Neurospora crassa OR74A: one gene and its partner. The protein of the gene in region 1 purifies or fractionates together with the protein of each later gene. This does not show direct contact. Links are inferred from orthologs where the notes say so. Each region holds a gene or a part of one and is shown on either strand. Other genes may lie near its edges. The genes, in order: NCU05714 and NCU04171.

Evidence for each region.
Region 2: the proteins of NCU05714 (region 1) and NCU04171 purify together in Saccharomyces cerevisiae (affinity purification with mass spectrometry, with the first as the bait; 3 studies listed by BioGRID). This does not show direct contact. The link is inferred for Neurospora crassa OR74A from reciprocal best matches to the Saccharomyces cerevisiae genes MRPL10 and MRPL7.

The regions. Positions count from the first base shown.
Region 1 is NC_026503.1:604,458-608,272, forward strand, and holds NCU05714 (mitochondrial 54S ribosomal protein YmL10/YmL18), read left to right. Parts: upstream 1-1,280; 5' UTR 1,281-1,405; coding exon 1,406-1,746; intron 1,747-1,871; coding exon 1,872-2,469; 3' UTR 2,470-3,108; downstream 3,109-3,815. UniProt on the Saccharomyces cerevisiae protein: Component of the mitochondrial ribosome (mitoribosome), a dedicated translation machinery responsible for the synthesis of mitochondrial genome-encoded proteins, including at least some of the essential transmembrane subunits of the mitochondrial respiratory chain.
Region 2 is NC_026505.1:5,079,029-5,083,179, reverse strand, and holds NCU04171 (mitochondrial 54S ribosomal protein YmL7/YmL5), read right to left. Parts: upstream 2,557-4,151; 5' UTR 2,282-2,556; coding exon 2,025-2,281; intron 1,889-2,024; coding exon 1,204-1,888; intron 1,001-1,203; coding exon 884-1,000; 3' UTR 552-883; downstream 1-551. Other genes in the region: NCU04172 (hsp70-like protein), read left to right, coding at 1-250; NCU04170 (hypothetical protein), read right to left, coding at 2,949-4,151.

The DNA of each region.
Region 1 (3,815 bases):
TTGTACACGAAAACGATCAGGTCGCTGCCGCAAACATGACCACATCCATGGGATCTTTCCCGCTCGCAAAGAAACCCATTTATCAGCCCCAAGACAGAAAGCAAATATTGAGAGACCACATTTTTGAGGCCCTGAGAGGCTGTCCAATTGACATGAAGAGCAAAAAGCTCGGTCGCCCAGGTAAGTTTGTAGAACGAACGACAATACCCCAACTGCAGACCTACGAAAAAGCCACACATTTTCATCAACGGGAACCACTGTGCCAAAAGATCACAGAGTTCCGTTATGCCAGAGAGATCAGTTAGGGAACCCGACCTTATATAATACCTGTAGGCTACAGCAGAGGGTACTAGAGGTTTGCGGCCTGGGCGGGAAGGGATCTTGTCATCCGATGTTCCCGTCGGTGAAGGGCGTGCCGACCGATTGCCGGTGGCAGGAGCGGTGGCAGGTACCTGGCGCGTGGTTTGGGCTTGGGACTGACATTCCATGCTTGAAATTCAGACAGACTTGAGTGAAAAGCCATTTCGGAGCGGCGCTTCTCTGCTTGACTTGGAAAGTTCCATCACGATCGGTTATGTTTATCCCGCGAAATGACTGCACGCTGTCCCTTGCTCTGTTCTGCAGTAAACGTTATCCGACAGCAAAGAAGGCTTAACAATTACATTCTTTCTATCAGCCATACAAACACCTTCAGTAAATCAAAGTAACATTCAGGCAATTCCAGCGTGTATGTCACTCATGCCATTCTCAACACTCCCGAACCCCACCAGCTCGATTGGCTCATGGCTGACACAGAACCCCCTTCGACACGCCCTACTTCAGGACTTCTGTGTAATTCTAGCGTAGGTCGCAGTTGAGACCCATCTATAATAGGTTTCTAGTATGAGCTGCTCTTGGCTGCCTGTTTTGCGTTGCTCTCAAAGGCAATACTTTAAGCATCCCACAGTTGTACTTGCACAATATTTTCTCAACGCACCTCCAATGGCCTCGGGACACTCAATTTATGATCATTCCGACTGGGTGGAAAAATTCCCTAAACTCGCACCAGATGTTCTTCAGCCTGTTAAGCCGCGGTACAATCACTCTTAGGGACTTTCACCGCACTGAACCTTTGACATGTTCTTGCATATCCCGTGTAAGTGATATCGAACATGGATATTTTGGAGCATCACGGTCCCTTGGCGAAGGACGTCGGATGTGGACCAGCTGCTGACTCAGCCGCCCATTCGCAATTGACCGAGACCAACGAGGGCGCACGGTCCACCCCCGCGACGCAGGTGTCGGAATTTGGCTGGGCGCGGGTCCTGAACTTTTGTTTTCGGGGAAGTGCCGTTGCCGTGAGGAACGGAATCCGGAAGACTGCCCGACCCAGACCCAACCCACTCCCGTGTCCTCCGCCTCCGTCATGCCTCCCAGGTTACCGCTCGCCCAGGCGGCGCGATGCTGCCAGGCCTCCCTCACAGCCCGCCCTTCGGTCCCAGCCTCGTCGCCGACGTCGTCCCTCATTTCGCTCTTTGCTGCCCTCTCCGTCCAGACCAGGAGCGCATCCATCCTCGCCAGCCTGTCCGACAACCGGGGCGCCTACCACAAGCGCATTCGCAAGGGTCGCGGTCCTTCGTCCGGCTATGGCAAGACTGCCGGTCGCGGTACCAAGGGTCAGAAGGCCCACGGTCATGTTAAGCCATGGTTCCAGGGTGGTCAGACGCCCTTGATCGTCTCTCACGGCCGCAAGGGTTTCGTTAACCAGTATGCCGTCCCGACTTCCCTACCTCGCTTGCTATGCGCCATGGCCAAGAACTCTCCAGCATGCTATCCGATAACCTATACCTACCAGATACATGATGGAGACTAACCATTTGTGTCTTTCATAGGTTCGCTGCCGACATGTCCGAGCTTAACCTCGAAAAGCTTCAGGAATGGATCGAAGCCGGCCGTATCGACCCCACGAAGCCCATTACCCCCAAGGAGATCATCAAGTCCGGCATCATTGGCAGCAGCATCAAGGACGGCATCAAGCTTCTCGGCCGCGGCAAGGAGAGCTTCAAGATCCCCGTCACCATCACCGTATCGCGCGCGTCCGCCTCCGCCATTGAGGCCATCGAGGCTGCCGGCGGCAAGATCGTCACCCGATTCTACACCAAGGAATCGCTCAAGCGTCTGGTAGAGGGCAAGTCTCTTCATACCGACAAGCCGCTGCCGGTGGGCAAGGAGCACGTGGAGGAGATCCTGGCGCAGGCGCGATCGCTCAAGAAGAAGTACTACCGCCTGCCGGACCCGACCAGCCGTTGGGATATTGAGTACTACAGAGACCCGGCGCATAGGGGCTACCTCAGCCACCAGCTTGCGCCTGGCGAGTCGCCCAGTTTGTACTTCAAGGTACCGACGGGCGGCGAGAAGGTCAAGGTGGTCAGGGCCGACAAGGTCAAGGCCAGCAAGACCGGGGATGTGGCGTCGGAGAAGCTCTTCTAATGAACACGAACATTGCCTGGGATGGCGGTTTTTCCGAGACTCGTTGTTGCGCTCTTCCTCGTTGTTGTATGATAGGTACTGGGCCCGTTCATGGCTCTGTGCTTTGTGTTGTATTATTATCATCCGCGTATTGTCAGTCCAGCGTCTTGCTCCTCGGATCAGTTCTATTTGGGTCCTTGTACATCATACAGGTCTCACCTACGGGAGTGGATTCCCACATGCGGCCAGCACTCCACTTGCTGACAACGCAGGTGAATCATGAAACTCCCTTGATTGACGTGTTCCTGCTTTTGCGATCCATCGTAGTTCGAAGATGGGCTTTATAAAGTAAATATCACTTGGCTGCGTGTTGACATGGTCCAAACGACGGATCTCGAAGACTTGCTGTCCCGTACCTGGCAGTCGGAAGAACAGCCATTGGCCAGTGACATGTCAATCCCGCAAGCTGACCCCGGTCAAGTCCCGGTCCTGGGCGGTCCCCGGCCATTCCTTCCAGGGCAGCTTCCACGGGGACGGTGAATGGGGGCATTAGAAAATATGGGTCTGATCACGTGCCAGGTCGCTTTTGGTACCTTCTCCATACCAGCTTGTAATTACGTCCGAAAACAGCCGTCAATACCCGACTTCTCTGCAAATTACCAATTAGTGTTAGGGTTAGTTAGGGTTAGTTAGGGTTAGTTAGGGTTAGGGTTAGCTCCGGGGGTGCAGGGGGCCGGTGAGAGGCCCCCGCATGTGAATGTGAATCGTTAATATTGACATATGTCAACCATATGCCGACCATATGTCTTGTAATTACGGTAATTACACGGGTGACTTTCGATACCTTCGGCTTAAAGAAAGTGGAGTATGCACGGACCAGTCTAATGCCCCTAATCACCATGCCCAGCTTCCACAGCGGGAACCGTCCACTGAAGCCACTGTATGCAGCCCTCCCGAACGGGATTGTGTCAGCTTTGGAGTCGGCGCGTGCCCTCCACCCACTCTGCCCGCCGCGGCGTCATCATTGATGCATCTTGACTTTTCTTTCCTCGAGCGGGAGAGACCAAACTTTGTCGTTGTCAACATCACGACCTGCTTCAACTTTTTTCTTCATTTCTGTGTTTCATTTTCTTCTTTTTCTTCTTCTTCTTCTTCTGGCTGAGGTTGCCATAATCTCATCATTAACTTGTTCACTCTTTGGTTCTTCCATCTTCAGCCCTGGCCCATTGGGGTTGTTCCTTGCAGTGCCAATCCTGACGGAGCTTATATACCTACGTCTACACTACCAGTGGCGGTACCTACATCCAACAGCCCTCCAACAGCCCTCCGTTGCATCCAGATTACGAGTCGCATTGCGACGCTGCTAG
Region 2 (4,151 bases), on another chromosome or scaffold:
GGGCGGCGTGCCCAAGTTGGTGGACCTGGCGATGAAGGAGGGCGAGTCGGAGAAGGTGAGGCGCAAGGCTACGTATGCGCTTAGCAGTGCGGTGAGGAATTATCAGCCGGCTATGGATGTCGCGGCGGACGAGATGCATAAGCGCGGTCATGAGGTTTTGGTGAACAACGGGACCAAGGTGGATGCGGCGGATATGGATAAAGTGGATGAGGTTATTGACGTTTTGAGAAACAAGGCCAAGTCTGCTTAGAGCTGTCTAAGGGGATGAGTAGGTTGAGGGTTTGGGGTTCATGATGGGGATGACCAAATGAAAGGAAAATGGGACTGAAAAGATATGGTTTTGGTTTTGGCATTGGAAAAGGCGTTTGGTTTTTTTTGTTTGGAGATCCTTGGTTGATCAAGACGAATGGGTTCTGTTGTCATAATATCTTGACCTGTTCTGTGCAAAGCTAGACTGGGATATGGATATGTGGTTCTAGACTTGGGAGTTGTTTATGAAGCAGATACCCTTGACGATGTCCGTTTACACAATCCAGTTCACGCAATGATGACACCCTTCCAATTGTTTTACGCATTTGTGATTCTACTTCTTTGATCTTTGACCGTCAGACCCGGTGGTATTGTTCTTCTTCCGTTTCCTTTCCACTTCGTCTATAAGCCTCCTCCTCGTGATGTTGTTACAAAAGGTATATATACACCCAACATACATCGTCCTTATGTGGTTAGTGTATTCGTATTGTACAAGTTTCACACATCTCCTCATCCTCCTCAATTGTCATCCAACAACTATCATGATGCGAGATGTTGTTCATCATCTTCTCATCCCCCTTCCTTGAATCTCGTCCCTTTCTCAACCTCTCACGATCAACAGCCCGTTTGGCGCTTAGTTGCTGTAGAAAGGAACGCCGAGGGACTGGAGCAGAAGCTTAGCCTGCCTGTCGGAGGTGGCTGTCGTCTTGATGGCGATGTGGCAACCGGGAATCATCTTGGCGGGGTACATCTGGAGAGGATAGAAAGTCAGTAATCTGTCGTCAAGTCCAAGAAAACAAGAAGACGAAGCAGACGGTAGGGCCAAAGCCGGAGCCAGAGCCGGAACCAGAACCCTCCCTACTGTAGCTTCGGCTCCGGCTCCAACTCCAAACTTTTGTTCTCCTCCGTCCTCTCTTTCTCTTCCACCCATCATTTCCCAAGAAACAAACTCACATCATAGTTGCATTCCACCTCGGGAAAAAGCTGAACATCCTCCGGATTCAAACCAAACTGCACATTACCGCTTCCATCACCCGTACTCGCCGGCACGCCCTTCCAATCCTTGATCCGGGGGAGAACCAAATGGATCAACCGATCCATAAACTCCCACGCCGCGTTTCCGTAAATCGTCGTCTTGCAACCAGCCGGTTTGTTCGCCTGCAGCTGCCACTGCACCACGTTGTTCTTGGACCTCGTCATCTCCGGCATCGTCCCCGTCATGGCCAGCAGCACCGCCCGGGCCACAATCAACAAGTCCGGGTTCTTGAGACCGAGCGGCACGAAGGTGGAGACGGTGATTTCCTTGATCTCGGGGATGTTGCGGAACGAAATGTCGCGCTCGCGAATGGGAAGCTCGGGGGCACCGCGGGGCGCGCGGCGGGCACGGTTGGCGAAGTAGGGCGAGTCGCCCTCCCAGGCACGCAAGCGCTCCGTGGGTTCCTTTTTGGGCGTTCCCGGGGGTGTGTGGATGTAGGCCAGGGTCATGAGGTCCGAGGCCATGACGGTGCGGAAGGTTTCCTTGAGACGAGGCATGTTGAAGGGGCCGGGAACGAAGTCGCGGGCGATAGGGTCGGAGGAGGGAGGGGATTGGATGGGGTGGAGGGGGCCGCGGTTGTACTTGGGGGGGTGGTATTGGTATCTGTTCGGTAGGAGGTGAGGCATGGTGGTTAGCAACGTTTAAACATCTTGTTTATGGTTTGCGTATATGTATGTATATATACATGTGTGTGGCTAGCTATGTAAACCACGGGACGGAGGGAGAGTGTATAACGCACCTGCTGCTAGGCAACCTCGCCTTCCTGTCGGCCGCGCGCTTCCATGGCCTGAACTCCTTCTTGTCCTCTTCGCTGGGGATGGGAGCGTCCAATGCCGACCGTGTCTCAAGCTCGGCGAGGTCGGGAATGTTGGATTTGGGAGTAGCGGCAGCAGCGCCGGCACCAGTTTGTGTCGAGGCGCATCTTCGGACGGCGAACTGAGCAGAGAAAGGCTGAAGAGCGCGAGCCGATCGCGAGACCCCGCGGAGACTGGCCATGGTGAATTAGGATACCGAAAAAAGAAACCGGCGTTCGGGCGGACGCTCTGGTTTCGGAATTGGCGACCGTGGAGGTTGTCGCTTCGGAGTGGTGGTTGAGGAAGAGGGTCCGGCGCACGCGGGAAATCGGGGCCGAAGGTCTGTCACGGACGGGCAGAGGGCAGCGAGGTTCCTTCTCCGGCAAGCGCAAGGTCCTGGTCCCGCGTCGAGGCTCGAAGAGGTGCCGGTCCCCGTTGTGCCGCCCGCCGGAATTTTTTTTGGAGCCTCTGCGGAGTCTCGAACCGGGGCCAATGCTTGGCAGCACGGGCCAAAGCTGGATGAGTTTGGGGTTAGGGATATGAGTCTGTTACCCCTGAAAGCGTTCCTGGACCCCTGAGAATGCATCTGATGTGGTTGATGAACTCTAAATAAAGCATGGATTTGGAAATATATCACTATGTTTGTACCAATATAAGCGATTCAGATCAGGATTCCAACACATTAAGACGACATGTATGATTAGATTAGGAGACACTTGTATATGCGTACGCTTCCTTTGCTCGAAGTATCCTCCGAGCCACTAATAATTACATCATTCCGCGCACACCTTATCAGCATGTCTAGCAATAACAACAAAGTATGTAACGGGGAAGAAAGAGAAAACAGAAAAAACATCCAAGTATCATCATCACCGTCCAAGACTACGTCCCCATCGCCTCTCAATATTCTTCCGCCCAGAGCCGCTTCTTCTCACTTGTCCCACACCCCCATCACCATCCCATTTCAACTCATAATCAGACTCCCCATCTTTGCCCAAATTGGGTAACTTCACCTTCACCATCCCCTCGTTTCTCCTTTCTATACTCCTCCTAGCAGGAGAAGTAGTCCCAGCCGGCTGAATACTGTAAAGCAACAACCTTGAGCCAGCACCGCAGAACTCCGTCTTATCACCGACGCAGAACGACCTCTTGCACTCATACAGCTCTGACGCCGCCACCGCCGTGTCCGCGAGCGAATTGCCGCAGTAACACTCCTTGCCGAACTCCACGCCAAAGAGACTGTAGCCCCTCGACTGACAGCGTTCGTGGCACATCTCGACCGTCATGCTCGTGCTGTTGGTGTACGAGTGAGCTTTGAGAATACGAGCCGTTGAGTTGTCGATGAAGCAACCCTGTGGCGTCGCCAAGCGCCCGTTAACCACGGACGGGTTGACGAGCCGGGGCGTCACGTAGTTAGTTTGTCTGAAGACGTCCAGACGAGCGCGGCCACCGCAGCGTGTTGATGGGTCACCGGCGCAGGTGAGATTACAGCCAGTCTGGCCGAGGCTGTAGCCGGGCTTGAACTCGAGACCACAGTAGCATTGGGATTGGAACTCGAGGCCGGCGAGGGGGTAGTTTTGCTGGGCGCAGTAGTTAAGACATTTTTGAATGGTCATGCCGGCGCTGTCGTATAGGTAGGTGCCATTGAGCGCGCGAGCAGTAGGCGCGGCGGTGTTGGAGTCACTGGCACATCCTTGGTAGTCCCAGTTCACAACAGCAGGAATTGTAGGCGAGGCTGAGGCGATGTTCGTGGTGGAAGTAGTGGCAGCAGTGGCGATGGTCGTGGTGGCTTGAGTAGGGGCTGTAGTAGCAACGGCGGCGGCGGTTGTAGTAGTTGTACTAGTTGTAAACAAGACTGGGGTGGTGTTCGTAGTAGAACTAGTAGCGGTAGTGGTGGTAGTGGTGACTGGAGCAGGATCTGTACTCGTGACAGCCGCAGCGGTTGTAGTACTTGTGCCAGCGGCAGGAGGGACTGAAGTGACAGTAGGTGCAGAGAGAGTGGTACTGACAACCGCAGGAGCAGTAGTAGATGAGCTGGATCCTGGAGCGACGCTGAGAGTGATACTCGTAGT